3 linked regions of the Oryzias latipes genome follow. The protein of the gene in region 1 purifies or fractionates together with the protein of each later gene. This does not show direct contact. Links are inferred from orthologs where the notes say so. Each region holds a gene or a part of one and is shown in the gene's direction. Other genes may lie near its edges. The genes, in order: cnot1, rnf219 and cnot8.

Region 1 (6,961 bases):
GAGACTTTAATGAGAACCTGTGCTCACTCCAGAGCCAACGCTCCAGAGGGGTGAGGAAGATGGATAGAAATGCCTTTAACTGTCACTAGCCACGTGTACAATGAGATTAAAGCATAGCCAGTGCAAAAACGACATAATGTAAGCATGATATGAACATGTAGGTTATGTGCAAATTTCATTTTATTGCAGATAAGAAAAAACAAAGGCCATTGTGACAGTGAGGAAGTAGAAAATATTAAATGTAAAAAATAAATGCATAAATATACATGTGCATCTATGTATACATAGGTGTGTTCCAGCATAGAGTGTAATCAGGACACTTGGGAATTGAGAAAGAAGACGTTTTTGAATCGGTTTGGGTTCAGGTGCATCTGTAGGTCAACAGGTCAAACAGATCAGAGTCCTAGACGATGAGTTTTGCTCTGCTATGGCAGTGGGAAGTGTGAATGTCAACTGATGGTCTTCTGAGTTGCAGCAGCTTTCACGCCCCCCTACAAACCCTCCTTAATTCAAGCTTTTGCTAATGTCCGTTATGCTTCACATTTGAAAACTGTAAATGACTCCTTGTCTGAAGGTTAATTTACACATTAAGAATTAAATATTTTCAGATAGGCTCTTCTGTTACAATGAGGCTCTTTTCTCTTAGATTTCATGCAGAAACTGATGGCATGCAATTCTTTTCCTCTTCTCGCCTCTAGTCTTCCCCAACTGATGGATGTTGTCCGCTCAAACTATGAAGCCATGATGGAGCGTGCCCACGGCGGGCCCAACTTTATGATGCACTCTGGGATCTCACAGGCGTCAGAGTACGACGATCCTCCGGGGCTGCGGGAGAAGGCCGAGTACCTCCTGAGGGAATGGGTCAACCTGTATCACTCGGCTGCTGCAGGCAGAGACAGCACCAAAGCTTTCTCCGCCTTCGTGGGCCAGGTTACCGCTCATCCTCCGTTTCCAAGTTCAGCAAACAGTTGACCTCATTTCCAGTGGTCCTGGTTTTAATGGTTCCTCTGGGTTTTTCCCTCCAGATGCATCAGCAAGGAATCTTGAAGACGGATGACCTGATCACACGATTCTTCCGGCTGTGCACAGAAATGTGTGTGGAGATCAGCTACCGCGCTCAGGCTGAGCAGCAGCACAACCCGGCAGCCAGTGCAGCCATCATCAGAGCCAAGTGTTACCACAACCTGGACGCCTTTGTGCGGCTCATCGCCCTGCTGGTCAAGCACTCTGGAGAGGCCACCAACACCGTCACCAAGATCAATCTCCTCAACAAGGTGCACACACGAGCAGAGGAGTGGAGACACGTTTGTGACGGACACGTCATAACACAGGTGGTTGTTACAGGTGCTGGGGATCGTAGTCGGTGTGCTCATCCAGGACCATGACGTCCGTCAGACAGAGTTCCAGCAGCTTCCATACCATCGCATTTTCATCATGCTGCTGCTGGAGCTCAACGCCCCAGAACACGTCCTGGAGACCATCAACTTCCAGACCCTCACTGCCTTTTGGTGAGACATCATGGAATCTGATCTCGTTCCGCGCTGTGAAACGTAAGCAGGAAGGTGTTTCTCATCCAGAAACCAAAAACCTGATTTGTTCTGCAGCAATACCTTCCACATCCTGAGACCCACCAAAGCGCCGGGCTTTGTGTACGCCTGGCTGGAGCTCATCTCCCACCGCATCTTCATCGCCAGGATGCTTGCACACACACCGCAGCAGAAGGTTGGAGCAGAACTTTTTATTATATTTTTGTTTTTTATTCATCTGTTTTAAATTTAAACCTGTCATGATTTTTTTCTTTCTTTGTTTTTTAAATCCTTAACACACCAATGTGTTCCAGGGCTGGCCCATGTATGCACAGCTGCTCATCGATCTCTTCAAGTACCTTGCCCCTTTCCTGAGGAATGTAGAACTCAACAAACCTATGCAAATTCTCTACAAGGTACGCACAAGTCCTTTACAAAACACTTTAGTTCAAAACGACTCTACCATAAGGAAGACCATGAAACTCTACCAGAGACTTTAACCTGTGCTGTACTTGATTTATATATATAAATGCACAGAGAAAAACAGCAACAAGATTGTTGGATTTGTCAGTGTAAAGGGTAAAGTTTTTTTCATTAGATTCAGTAACACAAAAACCTCGACTAAAGCTCTGAACTTTTTTTGGTTGGATGAATCAAATGTTCATGACTTGGACTGAAGCAGCATCATAAGACAACTGCTTGTCAGTCATGAACCTTGACTTCACTACAAGAATCGACCCTGATGAAGCTGAAGTAGATTTTGTTGTCGGGCTGTGAAAATAATGAGCTCAGTCTAGCAAAGGTTTAGCTGAAGACAGAATTCATTCAATCATCCAGAGATGTTTATAGGCGTACTGGTATCATCTGACTAGAGGGACGACATGAGACCCATGGTAGCAGATGAACTGTCCTAAAAAAATAAAAAAGGGTTGGACTCCAACAGTGAGCCCTGGGGTACACCTTTAAAGATGCAACAAGATAAAGTTAGCTTTGCTGCTGGGGGTCACAGGTATTGGGTTAAAGGTTTGCTGGCACTCTCTCAGGCATCTGTCTGATCTCTGATGTCGCGTCTTCTGTCCTGTGGTTCAGGGCACGCTGCGAGTCCTCCTTGTCCTGCTGCACGACTTCCCAGAATTCCTGTGTGATTACCATTACGGCTTCTGTGATGTCATCCCACCCAACTGCATCCAGCTCCGCAACCTCATCCTCAGTGCCTTCCCACGCAACATGAGGCTCCCTGACCCGTTCACCCCCAACCTGAAGGTAAGAGAGCCCCGACTGTGCCTGTCATTCAGAACCATCACTCCGATCTTACAGACCCATTCCGTCAACATGTCCTTGTGGCACTTTTCTCCTGATTGACGACGTGTACAAAGAAAATGAAGATTATAATTGCATTTATGAAGTTATGTTCACACCGCCCCCGGCAACACGTGTTCATTTTGAATGAAAAGTCTGGGTAAACCAGCGGTTTGGTCTTCCGTGTTCAAAACTCTCGCTTAGCTAACCAAGTTTCTACCACGGTTGTACGTATAAAATACGTGACCATTGAACGCACATTGCAAGTTAAACCAGTTGAACTTGGACCAATCAGGGACTCAGATTTGGTAGTAACGTAAGGATGGGGTCCTTTTTAATTCACAGAAGTGCCAACGGTATGAAAATTGATCATGGAAGAGAAATAGATAATTGGGGTTTGTGCCCGACCGGAATTTTATGACACAGAGTCGGAAAACCGATTCCACATTTCACACCAAGCCTGTTCCAACTGTAGGTGTCGGAGATACGGAAACATGAGTAAGAAGCCCCTCCCTGCTTGTCCAGTGTGAACACCATGGGCTAAAATGTGCATTGCAAATGTGCAGAAAGTACCATCTAGACGAGCGTCACATGGATCCGTAACTGAAGTGTTTCTTTATTTAAATTATTGTGAATCCCAATCAGACAAAAAAAGTCCCATGTGCGGGGCACAAGCTGTCTGCCCCACTCTGCTTCACAACAGCGAGGAAGTGAATTTCTAATTAACTACTGCTGCTCTACAGAAACTAAGTCCTAGAAAACAACAGTTTTTTTGATGTGGGCTAAATACTGCATAAGTATAATTAAAAAAAACACTGGGAATGCTTTGAAAATAGATCAAAAGACGATGGGATTGGCACTTCAACCTGTCTGACATGACGCCCATCCCCCCACAGGTGGACATGCTGAGTGAGATCAACATTGCTCCCCGAATCCTCACCAACTTCACGGGCGTGATGCCCTCTCAGTTTAAGAAGGATCTGGACTCGTACCTGAAGACGCGCTCTCCGGTTACCTTCCTCTCTGAGCTGCGCAGCAACCTGCAGGTAGAACCAGAACCAGAACCTTCTGCTACAAAAACTGTTTTCACAGCGGCTGAGGTTTCTGTGAACTCTGCCTGGCAGGTGTCAAACGAACCAGGAAACCGCTACAACATTCAGCTGATCAACGCCTTGGTGTTGTACGTGGGCACACAGGCCATCGCTCATATTCACAACAAGGGCAGCACCCCCTCAATGAGCACCATCACCCACTCTGCACACATGGACATCTTCCAGAACCTGGCTGTGGACCTGGACACTGAGGGTTTGTTTGGGTCTGGCTGACTTTTGGAGCATTCTCGTTGCCTCTCTCCTCACATCTCTGCTTTTGTGATTTTTCAGGGCGATACTTGTTTTTGAACGCCATCGCCAATCAGCTGCGCTACCCCAACAGCCACACCCATTATTTCAGCTGCACCATGCTGTACCTGTTCGCTGAGGCCAATACTGAGGCCATCCAGGAGCAGATCACCAGGTGGGGAGGTCCCGTCCTGTCCCGTCCTGATGTGTGAACACCGGATGTCCTGTTAATCGTAGGCTCTCTGGTTCTCAGGGTTCTGTTGGAGAGGCTGATCGTGAACAGGCCTCATCCGTGGGGGCTCCTTATCACCTTCATCGAGCTCATCAAGAACCCTGCCTTTAAGTTCTGGAGTCACGACTTTGTGCACTGTGCCCCCGAGATCGAGAAGTAAGTTCACCACCCCAGGTTCAGGTCCGGTTTGTGGGCGCTTGCGTTCACCTGTCCGTCTGCGTTCACCTGTCCGTCTGCGTTTACCTGTCCGTCTGCGCTAACCTGTCCGTCTGCGTTCACCTGTCTGTCTGCGTTCACCTGTCTGTCTGCGTTCACCTGTCCGTCTGCGTTTACCTGTCCGTCTGCGCTAACCTGTCCGTCTGCGTTCACCTGTCCGTCTGCGTTCACCTGTCCGTCTGCGATTACCTGTCCGTCTGCGCTAACCTGTCCGTCTGCGTTCACCTGTCCGTCTGCGTTCACCTGTTCGTCTGCGTTCACCTGTCCGTCTGCGTTTACCTGTCCGTCTGCGTTTACCTGTCCGTCTGCGTTTACCTGTCCGTCTGCGTTTACCTGTCCGTCTGCGTTCACCTGTCCGTCTGCGTTCACCTGTCCGTCTGCGTTCACTTGTCCGTCTGCGTTTACCTGTCCGTCTGCGTTCACCTGTCCGTCTACGTTTACCTGTCCGTCTGCGTTCACCTGTCCGTCTGCGAATACCTGTCCGTCTGCGTTCACCTGTCCGTCTGCGAATACCTGTCCGTCTGCGTTAACCTGTCCGTCTGCCCCCAGGCTGTTCCAGTCCGTCGCCCAGTGCTGCATGGGGCAGAAACAGGCCCAGCAGGTAATGGAGGGCACCAGTGCCAGCTAGCCTGCGCAGCCACCAGCTAGCCTGCGCAGCCACCAGCTCAAAGCACCCGGGAGAGAAATTCGTGGCCTTGACCCGCCCCGCCCCCCCAGCACACGGACCCCCCCCACTTCACCGTTGGCACTGGACAAAACCGGCTCCTGCAGTCGTGAAATGTGAATGGAAGGACTGCTGCTCACGGATTTAAAGAGATTTTTTTTTCTTCTTTTTTTTAAGCTTTTCCCGTTAAGCTTGAGTTGAGAGGACAGATGTGAGCTTATTTTGACCATTGATGTAAATATTGAAGAAGAAAAGGGAGAGCAGGGAAGTGGATGGATGGATTTGGCTGCACATGTCAAATGTGTCCTGGTCTGTACAGAACATTTACTACCAAAGTCCTCAGTTCCTTCCCTCCAACACAAGTCTTTTTTTTTTTCTTGTTTTGTTTTTTTGAGAGGTGAACGGTAGTTACCAAAAAAAGAAAAGAAAAAAAACAACTGTCTGATATAATTTTTTCTTTGGTTCCTGATATTTTCTAGAGTAAGACTGATATTAAGATCTCCTGTTTGTGGTGGGTGGGGGGGGCTTCTCATGGTTTTTCCAGTCGATGTGGCCTCTGGAGGTCTCTCCCTGGCAGTTGTAAAATTGTGCAAAGTGATGAAAACATCCTAACTTGACAATTTGTATAAAGATCCAAATGGAAGAACAATAATAGAAGGACCAATACAGGCCATTTTGTAACATTTTGAATGTTTTGTAAATGTATTGGTCCATGTGTTGTATTTTGTAGTTCTTTCTAGTTTGCCTTTTGTTCTTGCTACTTAATTGCAGTATGCATACATACAGGAAATAAAACATTTGAACTGCACATCACACGTGTGTTTTCTGAGCCCATCACACTTGCTCTTTTATAAATCAGCAACTTCAGTTAGTTACCTTATTTTCCTTAAACTCAACAGTTATTTTCTGTGAAACTTTTCTGAAGACGTACAATAAACTACAGCCGCACATAACTGGACAATATTTTAATTCGCAATATTGATCCCTAATATCGCAAATTGCGAGTTTTTCCTCGGATCGTTCAGCCCCACTCAGAAGCTTCTTTTTTTTTGTGCAGTGTCATCAGACGAACTCTGCATTTTCATTTAAGATTTAAGAACTCTGACCCTCTATGTGCCTTTTTTTCCATCTTACATTTGGTTCATTTCAAGCAACAAAAAAAACATGCATAGATGTATTAAATTAAGATGTTAAGTCACAAGAAAGGCACAAATATGTCCACATTCACATGTAAACAATGTTATAGTCAGTCATAGACATAATGTACTCGTACAAACTAAACATAGTTTGTCAAAAAAAAAAGAATATATAAAGAATCCTACCCCTGTTATGTTTGTCTCACCTGACTTAAATATCGCTATACGTAAACATGTCCAACATTCTGAAAAGCCTACATTTTCAGTGACACTTTGCTTCTTTATTAGTTTCATTTTTCTAATTTTAGCTCATGAAATGTCACCAGTATGTTTGAGGATGAGGCATTTAATCATTCAAAACCAAATAAAAAATGTGAAGAATTCTAAACTCGAGCTGCAGTCTGGAATCAAGAAAACGCATGACAGATGTGGGGGGTCACATCGATTCACTGAAGTGGAAGAAAAGGAAAGTTACATTACATTTTTCAAGTAAGAGTAATAAAAAAAAATCCAGATATTACAGAGACGATTAAAGATGAGCTCCCTTC
Region 2 (7,995 bases), on another chromosome or scaffold:
GAGATTAAGCCTTAAACAGAAAAGGTCATCCGAGCACCAGAGCACACTGTTTCGCTGCTGTGCTCTTAGGGCAGTCTAAACCTTTCCAAGTTAAATGGTAAAGATGCTATTTGCCGGGGGGGGGGGGGGGGGGGGCAAGATCCCAACCAGTGACAAGGCTGACACTCAGGTCATCGGTTCTTTACTGTCCATTACACATGCTGGTCAAATCTGGCAATCGGTGTCATTTAGGAATGAAAAATAAGTGCTGGGACAAGATCAATAGACGCAGCCGTCTGAACCAACTGTGATTAATTGACTGTCACCAATTAATGACTAGTCTGTTGCAAAGCAATGCAATCTCAGCAAGACAATAGGTATTTCTGCCATTTCATTCTGATGTGGCTTATTTTTAGGGAAAGATTCAGTAGAATATATTCACTAAGCACAGTTACGGTTCCCTTTTTACTTGGGCACGCTGGAAAGAATCTAACACAGGTGCCTGTATGCTTGGAACTCTTTGAAGACATTTGTGATATTAAGAGAAATATGGATTTGAATGGAAGCACAGTTCACAGTTTTTTTTAGTTCATCAAAAATAGCTAACAAAAATATTTGAATATGTTACTGCTTGCCTTCTGCTCCAAAAATTTGTAATATGTGAATCTATCCTCATTACAGCAGAGAGAGAGTAACGTGAAATAATGTAAACTGATAAAACGTATGATATTTCTGTATCTTGATTAACTTTTTCATAATGTGTGTTTATTTTATAATCTTTCATGAAACTCCTGATTGTATGAAAATGAGAGAGAAAAGTGCTGGCTTGTGATACATTTAATGCACTTGGAAAACAATCAAACAAGTACTGCTGATGTTTTTAAACTGGGATTGGCATACAAGGTTATTTTGCAGTGAGTCAATTCTAATCATATTAGATCCTGTGAAGATGTCCTGGTTTAAGATACATTGAACCCAAGACATGCAGCTCTAGATATGAGTAATGGCTCTGAAAGGTTAAACTGTGGTGGACATGTAATTGGAAACATTTTTAGTGGAGTTTATGCTAATATTAGACCACTCCGTACTGTTATTCTTAAATTACATCATTTACCAGAGACAAAGACATGAAAAATAATAGACAGCAATCTACTTTATGGGTTGGCTATAAATGATTGAATGTGAAATAAAGTACCATCAAAGAGAGCAAATGCCATTTTTCACTTTGTCAATAGATTTTGCTGTTATTCATCATTCTGGTGGAAACCTCTACGTCTCGCAGACCTATGTGTGTGGAGCCCAATGTCCCACCACAGACATACCACAAAATCTGACATATTCAATCTTAAGTTATGCTTTCTTTTGGGAACCATATCTGTAGTTAACTTCTAGACAACTTACATGTGTTCATTTTTAACACATTGAGCCTTTAGAAAATCCTGTAGAGTTTTTATTTTTGTGTAGTGTGTGGCATGCAAATCACATCCTAATTTAGGCATTGCTCTAGATGACAGTTTTATATAGACAGAATTTAGTTAAGGATAAAGGATGGGGATAAACACTCTATACTGCACATGCATGATACACTGCAGGTTTGTCCTCTGTATGTGACCCATTCATTGGTAATATATGCACAAGAGAATAAACTGTGACTGCAAAGCATCAAGGGAGCAGTTGTACTTAAGTGTTAGGTGTCCTGATCAGAAACACTTCAGTTATGTTGCCTGGAGAAAGGAAGATAACACATCTTTTAAGTGAATGCCCTCCATTTTTACACGATGAAAAGTTGAACCTTTTCCATAATCATGCTCACTGTCACCCAAGACTTTGTTTCATTTCAGCTCACCAATGACATTAAGTTTGCTTTGCCCTACATTGTGATTACGAGCATTAAATGGAAATGTAATCAGATTTGTAAGAAAAGCTAGCCAATAAAAAAAACTAATAAAAAACATACCCCTGTTTGTCAATTGAATCGGTTAGTTCAAAAGGGGCCCAAGTCCACAATTTTTCTAAATAGAGATATTATATGTTCTATGGTCTTCAAGGGAAAAGCTGTCTGCTTATGTGCAAAAAATTCTCAAGTCCGTTGTAATGTATTGACTATGCTTGACATTTAAATTACATTTAGTGCAAGAAAGGCCAAATTCCTGGACTTGGGCCTCTCTTGCATGGGTTTAGCTTCATCCCATTGATGGCAGCACTAGTTATCCAACATGGCAGCGCCCCTGTTTAATTCAAGAAGGGCCCAAGTCCAGAGACTTTAGTTTGCCAGTCCTCTAAAATGATAAAAGTGAGGTGCTTCATTTTATAGTATTTGTAAGATGTGAACTGGTGCTAAATCTGGATAAAGTATTAATCATTTTGTGTAGGCTCCCTATAAGCTATGCAATTAAAAAGATTTCCTGGAAAAACAAACCTCTTGGACTTGGGCCCCTTTTGAACTAACCGATTCAATTGACAGCTGGGATTAAAGCATCAACAGCGACTTTAAAGACTTGTATGTTATTTGAGCTAAAGATCCATATCTTTAGCTATGTAAAATTGTTCTTACAGCCAATTTTGTTGTCAAGGGGACAATTTATACATTTTCATTTATCACAGCTTTTTAGAAAGTTGGCACCACAAAACTAAGAAAATAATAAGTTTCCCAGAACCAAACAATCAGCAATTTAATAAATAAGGGTTGGTAAATTATTAAAAAATTAGTAAATAATAATTATACAATTAATAATGAATAATAATAATTTTACTTAAAACCTCAAAAGTGCCTCTGCTTTCCATAAAGATCTAAAATTACAAGCCAACTAACAATCCTAAAATAAGCATACATGTAGGAAACCTTCTAGAAATTACCAAAAACAGGTTTAAAATCCACACAACAGATTCCAAATGTTTTAAAATTTATAAAACCAGCAGCAAAGTTGAAATTAGGACACTTCTGAACAGTTTTTTTTTTCCTATGATGACTTAGTATTTCGGACCTAACATGCAGCGTCTCCAGGCAAACTCGAAAAAGTTACTTATTTTTTATTCCAAAATATGTTTTTTTTTATTTCTCTGTTTTTTGTTTTAATTTTAAGCCACCAGGAGGTACCAAACCTTGGAGCTCCTAAAAAGAAGCCATGGACTAGTTGGGAGAAGGAAGCATTTACCATTATCTCCTATATGTTAAAAAGTCATACTCCGAGAAAACATGTAGATAATCTTGTTTTAAAAGTCTATGAAATTGTTAGTGATTGACTTTCCATTTAGGCTGTGTGTGTTTGTGTGTGTGTGGGGGGGGGGCACAACCACAGCTATTTTGATTCTGTGATGACTGACATGTGTACATGTTTTTGATTGACATATGAGTAAACCCATTAGTGAACACAACAAAAGATCCATTTGTTGAAGTGGGCGGAATAGTTCTGGTAAATGAGCTCATCCCACCCATTCTCCATTCTCAATCATCCAATGGGGAACATTATTGGTGAAGTGCATTCACACATTTCCAAGCTTTTCACCACATTAGCAGCTAAACTAACTGAATGTAAATACATCTTCAACTCATTAAAAAAATAACCAAAAAGGCCACTACTGTGGAAGTTTTTTTTGCTATAAGTATAACCACTGGAGAACTAGGCAGAGTAAAATTGCTTTCAAAGAGGCAGGGTCAAAAAGTCCATAAAAAAGATTCCTATTTTGTTCACTTCTAGGTAAAAGTTCTCATGAAAAAGAAAACTACCAAATATATTTAAAAGAAATAGAAAATAAACATGACCCTGTCCGTACTAAAATCAACCCTTTTTGTCCCTCAAAGAGTTCCGTAGCTCATGACGCGCGCGCAGACCGACGGTTAGTTCCTGGTGGGAAACTTGTACCTCCCCGCGGGAACTGTGTCGTGTCTTGACAACAAGCGATGGCGCTCAATTATCAGGCATCGACTCTGTCTCTAACTTTGCCCATTTCCTGTCAAATTTGCCTCGGAAAGGTAAGCAGCATCTACATTTCGACATTAGCCGGGAATAGAGGAAGTAAAACTTCTCCTGCGTTGTCTGGCGGTGACTGCACTAGCGGCGCGCTAGTCACCCAGCTGCAACTCGGATCACCAAAGGAAAGCGTCTATTTGTATTTTTATTTTTTTGTCAAAAAATAATTGTCTGATACTCGTCTCCGTGCAGGTCAGGCAGCCGGTCATTTGTGCCAACTACCACGTGTTCTGTTCGTCCTGCATGGAAGTGTGGTTAAAGAAAGCCGGCCAGTGTCCCACCTGCAGAGTGCCCATCACAGCAGAGAGTCCGTGCAGAGAGATCATCGGTGAGTACCGCTACAAACGAGGGGGGGGCCCCCCCCCCCCCCCCCCCCCAAAAAAAAAAAAGATCAGTAGAGGATGCACTGTCTGCATTGTTAAGAAAATACTTAATTAAATCTACATAAACTTAACACTCCTGTACAGAAAATAAAGGATTAGCTCAATACAGTTCTATCATTTGCAAGTCCCACAATGTTTTTGTTGACACATTAGAGGTGCTGAACTGTTTCTCCATGCATTCCCCTTATAAACTATATATTTTCATGTTTCTTTTTAAATGTAGGCAAGTAACTAATAAATGAGGATATGATAATGTCACTCATGTTGTTTTCTTTGCTTTGAGTTAAAGGTTTGTTCCAGAAATAAGGTTACAACAGTCTGTTAGATAGAACATTTGTTTGAATTACTTTAATGTTAATTTATCAACTTTTGATCTGCTTATATATCATTTCTTAAATATGGTAGCTAGATTCAGTTTTTGATATTTTGGCACCAGAACGTATATTCAGTATCTACTTGGAAAACTACTAGTATCATGTGTATATTTTTGGAAATATAATCTTTTTGTCATTCTGCTACAGGGGGGACGAATGAAGGCGATCACAGTGACAACACATCCATGAGAAAATGTCTCCGTAAAACCAGAGGAGAGCTGCTTTTACGGGAGTATGAGGTACGGCTGCATTCAGGATGCTTTCTGATATTTTAAATTACTAGTTAATTCTGCTTAACTGGGAACCCGTGAGTATGTGTGTAGAGGGTTAGCTACAAAATTAACAGGTTAAAGGGTTTGAGGGGAGTTTACACGACTACTATTAAAATCCAGTCAGCACTGTTCAGTCAAATTTGAACAATTACTGCTAAGTATCAATCAAAGCTTTTATTAGAATTTATTTGGACTCTAATCAAACTGTTTCACTATATTGGCACTACAAATATTACAATGGTTCACTACTCCAAGTCCTTTCAATTTGTTGGTTATTTTTGGTTATATCCGCTTTATTTAGTGTAGAACGTGTTGACATATTCCTACTGTGAGACTAAAAGGAAAATGGTCTCCCACGGAATTAACATACATTTTAAGACATTTTGAAGAATTATTTGTTATGTTGTGTTATTTTATGTTAAATTTGTAAAACTATGTTATGTTAAGTTAAATTTTTTATATTAAAAAATAACATAACCAATCTATACTTGTTTGTTAAATAATATCATCTTTTAACCAGCTTATTTACCAATAATAGTGACTGAAAAGCAGAAGTTTAAATAGTGTTCTCTTGTTTATCTGCAAAAAGTGAAATCCACAAAGACGGACATTAATATTTTAACACTTTTTTTCTCAAAGTTCCTAGCTTCATAGAAAAATAAGTTCAGTATTATGGAACAAAAACAAAAATCTTTTGGAGAACTGGCTTTGCAGAGCTGCCTGCTTCTTGTACAGGAGACATGGCATAAAGGAGATTGATTGACAAGATCTTCAGCCTATTACCATGCAGAACACAGTGTTTAAAAAAAAAAAAGAAAACCATCTAAAGCTGCACAAAAACAAGTCTGCAAAACAGTGAGCCACAAAAGGTGAACTGCAATTAAGCAAGGACCACTGTAATTCACTTTTTCTATCTTTCACATAACAAGATTATGATTAAACTTGGATTGAATTTCATGTTTATTTGTTTTTTTAATTTGGTTTTTCTCCTGACCCTTGTTTTTCACAAAACCTTTCCACGTCAGGAAGAGATCGAAGGGCTTATGAGAGAAAACGAGGAGCTGAAAGTCAAAACTCAAAATCTGGAAACCCAGCTGAAGACCGCATTGCTTCCTACCAGCATAAATGCAGTGGAAGCAGATGAAAAGAGGGTCCCTCACTTTGTTGTAGAGGAATGGAAGAACAAGCTGCAAGCAGCCACAGATGTTTGTGATCAAATAAAGCAGGACATGGACAAACTGAAAGAGGTACACACAACTAAACACATGTTCTGTATTTACTGACAGATGTTGATAAAGCTTGTGCATATGTCGTGTATTTACAGGTCTTATAATTCTATATATAGAAATACAAGTAAAGTTAATAGTTGGAAGGGTAACTGCATGCATTTCTTAAGTTTTAACAGAAGCGTACGATATCTTATTTTTATTTGAGACTTTCTCTGTTTCCTTTAGGCAAATAAGATCCTGCGTTCTCAAAATGTAGACCTTGTCCAAGAGAACATGAGACTTAAAGCAGAAGTGGCGAGCAGATCTCCTCAGAAGTAAGTACTTTTTTTGCAACATTGATCAAGTGATGGAAACAATGAAACGCCTGATCGTTAGCAAACAGCATGAACAGAAGAAGAAAACCGCGCCTGCCTTCAAGAAAAACAAAAAATCCTAGGGGTTCTTTTACAAAAAATAACTTTTAAAATGTTCTGGCTGCTAGTAAGATATTTTGTGTTGAGTACAATATTTTGGATGGTACTAATAGGTAGTGTTTTCTGTTAATAATGAAGAATTTTACAGTGTAGGATTGACTGATCTTAACTTTTATATGTATTTATCCTTCATTCGTACAAGATCTGATCAAACTGTTGTTTTCATTGGCGAGGTGCAGACACACTATAGGTCTATAAGTCGATGTCATGAAATAGGCAGCAGCCACAAGGAGTGAAAGCTGGTGCCTCAGAGATCGAGGCGTCTTACTTCTGGGTTGGAAAAGAGCTCAGGAAAATAATATTTAATAAAAAATGCATTCTTTAGTGTGCCAAAGGTACCATTATCATGTACATGGATATTGTTTACTATAAAAGGCTTAAGGAAAGCATGGTATAGGCCCCATAATCCCAAATTAAAGGGGAAAGATGTTGTCAATAATTTGTTGGGCTCAGTCTGTGTTAACCATCGGTTGTATTCTCAGTCACATTTGCTTTCTTTTTAGTCCCACTCCAATCATTTTTTGCTCTATTGTGAAAGCGTTCCCAGTGGTCTTTTAGTCATGATTATGCCGTTCTTAGGTAATATTTAAAAAAAAATAGAACATAATTTCTGCAGAGCAGCCGTAGTTCATTAGAATTTCACCTCTGAGTTGTGGGCGGAACTGTTGGCGTGGTGTAGGCCGGCCCTGACTTCCCATCATTCATCTGTTCATAGCTTACAGCCCCTCACACCCCCAACATAACATTAAGAGTGCAACAAAAATGCAGATCAAGTTTGAGCTCAACTTTCTCTATATGCAGTATGTCCTTCATCCGAATAATTCCACAAGAATATGTTAAAAACACAGAAAACGCAATCTTCATTAGAGTGGGTCTTTAAGTCCAGCAAATTCCAAAGTTGGCATTGTTGCCTTCAGAGGAAGACTAGCATTAAACATCATCAAAGTTTCTCATCAGAACATTCAATCAATGCCAACTTTGGGAAAATTTCTGCATATTGAATCATAATGTTTAGCAAGTTTAAACACTCCAATGAGAATTTTGTTTTTGATGTTTCTAACATGTTCTTGTGGCATTGATGATGGGCATGAAAAAGAACAATGAAGGTTAAATTGCATTTTTTGAGTATTTCTTTATTCAAATGTTTGTAAATCGGGAGCAGATGGAAAAAAAAGGCTGTTTGAAAAAGAGCTGATTTGTGACGTAGAGTGCTGGGCGGGCCACAAGCTCCCTGTTCTGAGCTTTCATCAACAGGGAGCGGAAGGGGGTGGGGTTGGTCTGCGCTGGTGGTCCTGCCCACAACTCAGAGGAAAG
Region 3 (8,158 bases), on another chromosome or scaffold:
CAGTGGAGAATAAAGGTCCTCGTGTCTGTGGAGGACGGCTGTTCCTCTGTGGAATCCAGAAACACTTTAGATTGTTTCCAGCATGAAGGACTGTTTAGAAACACCAAACAGAACCTCGTTGGAGGATCTTCTCCTTCAGGCTTTTCTGGTAGACGTCACTATCAGGATCCAACTGCAGGTCGCTCCTAGTGCAACCATTCCAGGTTCAAGCTTGACGTTCTCTGAGAATATTTAAGTCACACGTTCATCTTTTAAGCTCCTAGAGAAGTCTGGAGGTCACAATGAGAGAAAGAAAAGCTTTATTTTTAGCTAAAAGCGGTTTCATATCTCCAGCCTCACTTAGGAGCGCTGTGATGAGAGGATTGTGTGTGAAACTCCTGAGGCTGCTCCTTGAAGAGGCTGGGCGTAGACGAAGACCCTCAGGAACCTGACATGTGGATGTTTTCCATCATAGGTGAAGTCGGTGCTGACCACTCTGTCTGGAGACGAGCTGCTGCAGCTCAGGGAGGAGCTGGAGGCCATCAAGGACTCCTTCTCCATGGTGGAGTTTGACGAGGAGGAGGTCGATGAGAGGAAGGGTAAAAGCGGACGTGGAAGTAAAAGCAGAACTTTCAGCTCCTTGCAGCTGAACTGACGGGAGGTTCTGGTTCCAGATGAGGACGGGGGGGAGTTTGAGAAGGAGCTGACAGAGGCTCTGGGGGGCCTGGAGATCTCCGCTGCAGCCGGCAAACTCAGCACGGTACGAGTCTCTGAGCTTCACGTTTGGAAAACACGTCAGGGTTCTGTCGAGTAAATGTGGCCCAACAGGAAAAATGAAGCCCAAATTCTGCAGGTTTTGAGTTTGATACCAGGAGATGAGAGGAAACGATGCAGCAGGAGACTCCAAGCTTTTTCACAGAACGGTTGCTGCTTTTGCATGATCCTGCTGGTGTTTGGAAAACCTCCTTCTTTCCTGTCCTCCGTTTGACCAAAGGCCTCACAAGAGGAACAGTGAGAACAGAGCATTGGTCTCATGGTAACAGGAATAGCGGTTGTTTTTCTGGCCTCCAATAGGCCTGTAAGGAGGCCTGCAGCAGCATCAGGGACATGAGCACACCAGCAGAGGAGGAAGAGGAGGAGGACGGAAGTGGGATGAAGAAAGCCCACTCTGTGGAGGTATGTCTTACACACATTCCTTCACATCACCTGAACTCCTCTGATCTTTTAAAAACTCCAGAAGTTCCCTTTTTATCGTCTTCATGATATATTTAAAACCCAAGGGTGACATTTGCATCTCCATTTAGCCTTTCAGTCCTCAGACTTTCTGCTTTATTGTTATTCAGGAAGTAGAATTCACACCTTCACAGAAACCTCCTGGATTTTTTTTCCTTTCCCCGTCAGGACGTTCACGCCGCTGCCATCAGGAGCCTGGCAGAGCTGACGGCTCGATCCATCGAGCTTTTTCACAAACTGGCAGAGATGATCCTCTTCTCCAATGGCAGCGCAGACGCCAGCGTCCTGTCACAGTGAGGCGCTTTCCTCTGAGCAGCTCTCCTGCCCGTCCAGCCTCTCATTGGCTCCTGTGTTGCGTGTCTTCAGGTTGACTGTTGTCCTGTGTAAAGAAGTCTCTCTGCTCTCCAAGAAGTTCACGTCCTGCTTGACGGCAGCGGGGGTAAGAGGGCAGCGTCAGTGTCTTCTTCCAGAAGCTCCTGTTAGACGGCTGGAACTGAGACTGACGACATTCAAGAGTTCCTCCTGCAGAAAGCCCAGTAGCGCCCGGTCCTGCAGTGAGGCCACGGCTGCAGTTGCCATAGAAACCAGGGTTTTTCCATTCAAATGTCCAAAGTTTCACTTTTCCTCCACCTTTTATTTCTTAATATAGATTTGAGTCAAAAACGAGTTTTATAGAAGATGCGTTTATTGTTGTTGGTAAATAAAATGAAACACTAGAATAGGCAGGAAGGGGTTAAAGCACAGAACCGAACTGCAGGATGCTTTCAGGTCCGCTTGATCCCGGTACCGGTTCCACAGACGTTCTCTCTCTGCAGGCTAACGCTTTGCCCTGTTTTTCAGTCTCAGGACAAAGGAGACGTGCTGAACCCCCTGATTACAGGAGTCTTTCTTGAGGTGGGTGTGCCATCGCTGAATGTTCATGTTGCCCCTCCCACAGCGCTCCTAGAAATGCTCCTCCCACACAGGCGTCCAACAGCGCGTCCTACATCCAGGACGCTTTCCAGCTTCTCATGCCGATCCTGGAGATCTCCCACATCCAGAGGAGCGCCGCGTCTCCAGAGAACCGACGCCGCTGAAAGCCTTTTGAAGAACTTCGGCCGGAAGGAGAAAAGCTTTTAGTCGCACCGTTCTGGGGGTTTGTGAAGCACAGAAGCAAACATGAGGCGTCCTGACCTACAGGGACTCCACTGCTTCTGCAGAAACAAACAGGGAAACACTTTATTATCACACTTCTGCTCAAAAAATTCTTTTAATGAAAAAAATCGAATGAAAACTTGTAGGGTAAGGTGGGACGCTTTAAATAAGAAAAAAAAAATTAAAAACAAAAATCTGAAACAATTAGAAACGACCCAAAAATGTGTGATGTTTGCACTTTTGTCCCGGTATCTTTGTTGTTTTTCTCCGAAGGTTCTTTGACTCTCCCCATCAGCAGAGACGCTGTCGCCCTTAAGGGTCATCTAGGGATTCTGACTCAGAGTTGCCTCACCTGAGCACGAGTAAAGGAGGGTTCCTCGCTGCACTTGTAACCTCCACCAAGGCTTAGTGCTACATGGAGGGGTGGGGTCCCGTGGGAGGATGGGTTCTGCCCCCAGGCGGTAGCAGACAGAAGTCATTTTACTACTAATCAATAAAGAAGCTTCTGCAGTCACTTTGCGTTGACGAAGCAGAAGCAGCTTCACCTGCAAGGTGGCCTTCAAAGCCACACCCTCTTTTTAATAATTTTCCTTATTTTTAATCCCCTGCTGTTGTTTTACTTTATTATGAAGTTGTTCTTCTGTGTTTTTCCCTTAAAGCTGCAGCTGTTTCTGTGCTAAACATGATGTTTCTGTGGAGGACTGAAACTCACTTCATTCAATTGTGTAAAAATGTAAAATAAAAGGGTTCGGATGGACCGATTTGAACGCTGTTTTTCATTAGTTTCCTGTGACTTTTTGTCAAATCTTTTCCTTTCATGGTCATTGGTATCACATGGTCTACAGAGGGAACTACAGAGGGAGCAGCATGTGCAGCAGCTGCTCTTTCACCATTTTTTACCTCATCTAGGTTTCCGCGTCGCTCAGCAGATGCGTGTTTGGGGAAAGAAATACACATTCGTTTATACATTAAAAATACAGTTTCACATGAAAATACCTGTAAAACACAAGGAGTAATGAATGTTTCAATGAAATGTTGATATTCAAACAAAAACATGATATACCTACATGTCTCATGCTGTCTTTCATATGTTAAACTAAATTCATATTTACATTTTAATTATATGTGTATTGGAACCGTTACAAAGGTTATCATGGTTGAGTCCTGCACAATATAACCATCATATAGTTTGATAAATAATGTTTATTCTAATGTGTTCTCTGCTTGGCATTTTAGTTACATATTTGGGTTTATTGTTTTCAGTTTACAAACTTTTTTTTAAATAGTGTTTTTTTTTGTATTTCTGACATTTTTATTATGATTATTCCTATAATTTATTAAAAAGGTACAATGAATGACCCATTTACTGCATGGATGAGGGCCTTTAGGAAAAAATTTGTGTTGAAGTAGTTAATATGAATTTGACATATGAATATATTTAAGTAACAAAAAAATGTAAAGATAAGTCATACATTTTTATTTAATGGATGGATGTCAACAAATGAAGTAGCGTTGTGGAGCTTCCGCTCCGGACCGGCAGGGGGCAGTGTGCACGTTTATAGTCCACTCCAAACCGGAAGTGAGACGGTAGGAAATGAAGGAAGCAGACGACAGCGTTGTGTCGAGGGAATTTTAAGGTAAACCGGTTACCTAATTAAACGACTACATTTTTTTTCCCGGGCAGCTTCAGTCAGATTAAACACTTTAACAGGGCCACGTCATTTATTTATTCTTCAATGCTGCGTCATCTCTGCAACTTGACCGCGCGCGAATATTAACGTCTATGCTAACTGTTAGCATCGATCACGGTTTGTTTTCATTTTCTTTTCTGCTTAAGAACAATTTTAAAGTATATTTGTTTTATTTATAGTGTTAGAATGATTGAAAATATCGGTTTTATATTTGTATTTCGGCTGAAGTTAAATTAGTAAAGCCAGTTCCGCACTACAGTCAGTACGGAGTCGGCTGTCATGGCAACAACAGCGTTTTTTTAATGCTGTTCTTTGTTGTTTCTATTTTTATTGTTAGTTTTTGCTCGTTTTGAGAGCCTCCATACAGCGTGTACTTTCATTATATATAAAGATCTATGTGGAAACGCGTCAGGTAGACTGTAAAAATCCCAGTTACAGACTACAGAAACGTCATTTTACCATGTAACTTTCAGTGCTGCTGTTGAACTGATTTTTTTTTTAAACCAAATATATGGTGACACCCAAGACTACTTGGTGGATTATTACATACAGAAAGCAGTTAGTCTTCAATCTATCAATAGCATTTTGAATCAAATTGATGCTGTGAAACAGGGAAACAATTGTTAAGGGGTCAAAGCAGGACAGAGTAAAGACACGGTTTGACCCTGCATTTGACCTTAGATCAGTAAATGATGCCATCATGACTGGGTAACTTTTGAATAAATTAAGTAGACTCTTATTAGATGCTCAGCTTCCAAAGATTCCCTATTTTTATGTTGTATACTTGTGATGATTTGACGGCATTACTCTGAGATTTAAGTACGTTTTTTCTAAATCTCCTTTCGCAGTTCTTTTTTTGTTGCACGGTCCCCCTTCCCACCCCCCCTTGAAGCCCTGCAGGACCGTCGGGTCTCCTAGGAACCTGCCAACATGCCAGCTGCTCTTCAAGATTCCAGCCAGATGATCTGTGAAGTCTGGGCGAGCAACGTGGGGGAAGAGATGAGGAAGATACGGCAAATTATCCAAAGCTACAACTACGTTGCCATGGTTACAGGCTCTCCTTTCTTTGTTGACAGTTGAATTCTAAAAAGAAAAACAAAGAACGTAAATGTGGTGATTGCAAATGTGTGCTAGTCTCTTCCTTTCCTGGAGTGTCCTAACCCTGCATTTCTGTGTCTTAGGACACGGAGTTTCCCGGAGTCGTGGTCCGACCCATAGGCGAGTTTCGCAGTACGGTAGATTACCAGTACCAGCTGCTGCGGTGCAACGTGGATCTGCTGAAGATCATCCAGCTTGGTCTCACATTCATGAACGAGGATGGGGATTACCCCCCCGGCACGACCACGTGGCAATTCAACTTCAAGTTCAACCTGACGTAGGTGCTTCGTCGTCTCATGGGACTGAAAACGTTCGCTGCTTCCTGTCAACCTGCTGGCAGCCTAAGCCACTTATGTGCTATGATGACAACAGTCTTTAAAAATAATAAAAAACATAAACAGAGACGCCTGTAAATTAAACTCCAGTACGTAAGCCTTAAACAGGCTGTGAAAGATGCAATGAGCCACTTCTCCACTAGGAGACAGTATTTCACACAGAAGTTTGTGCCTCAGCTGTTCTACTGTGGTGTTAAACTGCATGAACTTTTTACTTTTTTTTTTTTATTAGATGTATTTTAATAATTAAAAAAAGGTTGATTTACATTTTTGTTTACTCCTTTTCATAAATCTCTGAAAAGTGAAAGGTTCACAGGTTTTCTAGTGAAATAAGATGATCAAGTCCTGAAATGATCCTTGATGTTCTCTAACGTTGTGTGCAGTGAGGATATGTACTCCCAGGACTCCATAGACCTGCTCCAGAACTCGGGTCTGCAGTTCAAAAAACACGAAGAAGAAGGAATCGACACGCTGTACTTCGCCGAGCTCCTCATGACGTCGGGTCTGGTTCTGTGTGAGAACGTCAAGTGGCTGTCCTTCCACAGGTCGGTTGTCTGCTGGCTTGTTCCATGAACGGGGGTGGGAGGGGGTCTTCTGTTTGATCTTTCAGAAATCATAAAATATAATTAAAATCACTTTAACCCAGTAGAACCCACGGTGACGTCAGTGTAACAGAAAATATCAGAAATGGATTCTTTGGTCCATTTGGTTTGTGGTTAAAATATGCACTTTATTTTAAACAACAAATGGGTCTGGGTACTTATGGGTTAACACCAGAATAGAGATCCAGATAAAACAATGTAAGCAGGTCAAAAACATCTCTTTTACTCTGAACTTAATCCTTGTCAGAGGAAAAACTTCTCTGGGATCTTCAGGGAGAAATTTCAGAGATTAGCTGCATGGAGCTGAATTCTGAGCTCCAGTTAAAGTTCTGCCTCTGGTTCATTCCAAATATGATCTCTGATGCTAAAGCATGAAGAGACTTGAACAGAAGCAGAACTATTTGAAAGGCTGTTGTGTGACCTCGGGACTGATGGTCAAAATCAGAAGCGGAGCAGCAGCGTTCTGGATGAACTGCTGCTTCTTTTCTGGGTCCAGACGTTACAGCAGTCTGACCTGCTGGAGACAAACTCCACAATAAACTGGTATCTTAGTCCTCTTTGGTTCTGCTGATGTTTCTTAGACGATATAATGTAGATGACGTTCAAGATTATGGAACTTTAAGTCTTTGCAGAGCTTTTTAGAGCGACCGTCACCATTTTCCCTGTCTTCCTCTGAGACAGACACGATCTAGAAAAGGTTTCTGGGATGCTGCTTCTATTCACATTGATAGTAAACTTTTGCAGAACCTCTGAAACTGTTCAATGTCTAGAGGAGTTGATTCTCTGAGTTTTTAATCATTAATAATTTTTGTTTTGTCTCAGTGGTTATGACTTTGGCTATCTGGTGAAACTCCTGACGGATGCGCGGCTTCCAGAGGAGGAACACGAGTTCTTTCAGATCTTAAACTTGTTTTTTCCTGCAATTTACGATGTGAAGTATTTGATGAAGAGCTGCAAAAGTCTGAAGGTAAGGCCTGCGGGTCACAGGGTTTATTGCTTTCTACATCCCCGAGGAACGTGGAGCCGTCTCACTCCGTCTCCGCTTGTTCCTGCAGGGGGGGTTGCAGGAAGTGGCCGATCAGCTGGAGCTGAAGAGGATTGGCCGGCAGCATCAGGCGGGGTCGGATTCGCTGCTCACGGGCATGGCTTTCTTCAGGATGAAGGAGGTACAGTCTTCATCGTTTTCCGGCTGACAGCTGTTCTGTTGCAGCTGGAAGTTTTTGTGAATCTGCTTAGATGGTTTATAAAATGTCTTTCGAGAAATGCATTTATAAATGCGTAGAATTGTAGATCTTTAGTGTTTTATGTGTGGACATACACTCACCCACTTTAGCAGCTCCACTTTGCTTGTACCCTCTTTAGCCTTCAGAACCGCCTTAATCCTCTGTGGTTTAGAATCAGCAAGGTTCTGGAAACATTCCTCAGAGACTTTGGTCCATGTTGACATGACAGCATCAGTTGCTGCAGATTTGTCAGCTGTACATCCATGATGCCGATCTCCAGTTCCACCGCATCCCAAAGGTTCTCTATTGGGTTCTGGTGACTGTGGAGGCAGTTTGAGTCCAGAGAACTCATTGTCATGTTCTAGAAACCAGTCTGAGATGATTCCAGCTTCATGACATGGAGCCTTATCCTGCTGGAAGTAGCATCAGAAGATGGTCCACTGTGGTCATGAAGGGATGGACATGGTCAGCATCAATACTCTGGTAGACTGTGGTGCTGGAACCATGCTCAGTTGGTACAAAGAAAACATCCCCACACCATGACACCACCACCACCAGCCTGAACCGTTGATACAGGGCAGGATGGATCCATGCTTTCATTTTGTTGAGGCCAGATTCTGACTCTACCATCTGAATGTGGCAGCAGAAATGGAGACTCATCAGACCAGACAACGTTTTTCCATCTTCTATGGTCCAGTTTTGGTGAGTCTGTGTGAATTGTAGCCTCAGTTTCCTGTTCTTAGCTGACAGCAGTGGTACCCGGTGTGGTCTTCTGCTGCTGTAGTCCATCTGCCTCCAGGTTGGACGGGTTGTTCTTTCATTGATGCTCTTCTGCAGACCTCTGTTGGAACCAGTGGTTCTTT

Evidence for each region.
Region 2: the proteins of cnot1 (region 1) and rnf219 purify together in Homo sapiens (affinity purification with mass spectrometry; 3 studies listed by BioGRID and IntAct, with this or other methods). This does not show direct contact. The link is inferred for Oryzias latipes from reciprocal best matches to the Homo sapiens genes CNOT1 and OBI1.
Region 3: the proteins of cnot1 (region 1) and cnot8 purify together in Homo sapiens (co-immunoprecipitation; 5 studies listed by BioGRID and IntAct, with this or other methods). This does not show direct contact. The link is inferred for Oryzias latipes from reciprocal best matches to the Homo sapiens genes CNOT1 and CNOT8.

What each region holds. Positions count from the first base shown.
Region 1 is NC_019864.2:25,874,919-25,881,879, reverse strand, and holds the end of cnot1 (CCR4-NOT transcription complex subunit 1), read left to right. Parts: coding exon 1-50; intron 51-698; coding exon 699-930; intron 931-1,025; coding exon 1,026-1,274; intron 1,275-1,344; coding exon 1,345-1,508; intron 1,509-1,604; coding exon 1,605-1,722; intron 1,723-1,840; coding exon 1,841-1,942; intron 1,943-2,615; coding exon 2,616-2,789; intron 2,790-3,721; coding exon 3,722-3,871; intron 3,872-3,949; coding exon 3,950-4,130; intron 4,131-4,207; coding exon 4,208-4,340; intron 4,341-4,418; coding exon 4,419-4,553; intron 4,554-5,162; coding exon 5,163-5,241; downstream 5,242-6,961.
Region 2 is NC_019861.2:14,861,595-14,869,589, forward strand, and holds the start of rnf219 (RING finger protein 219), read left to right. Parts: upstream 1-3,774; 5' UTR 3,775-3,880; coding exon 3,881-3,952; intron 3,953-4,142; coding exon 4,143-4,278; intron 4,279-4,854; coding exon 4,855-4,946; intron 4,947-6,004; coding exon 6,005-6,226; intron 6,227-6,433; coding exon 6,434-6,522; intron 6,523-7,995. UniProt on the Homo sapiens protein: E3 ubiquitin ligase essential for DNA replication origin activation during S phase.
Region 3 is NC_019872.2:29,376,938-29,385,095, forward strand, and holds the start of cnot8 (CCR4-NOT transcription complex subunit 8), read left to right. Parts: upstream 1-3,884; 5' UTR 3,885-3,983; exon of another isoform or gene 3,984-4,154; intron 4,155-4,885; 5' UTR 4,886-4,967; coding exon 4,968-5,084; intron 5,085-5,218; coding exon 5,219-5,412; intron 5,413-5,853; coding exon 5,854-6,015; intron 6,016-6,894; coding exon 6,895-7,039; intron 7,040-7,127; coding exon 7,128-7,238; intron 7,239-8,158. Other genes in the region: protein FAM114A2, read left to right, coding at 455-578, 654-739, 1,054-1,155, 1,381-1,505, 1,579-1,651, 2,053-2,106, 2,178-2,288. UniProt on the Homo sapiens protein: Has 3'-5' poly(A) exoribonuclease activity for synthetic poly(A) RNA substrate. Its function seems to be partially redundant with that of CNOT7.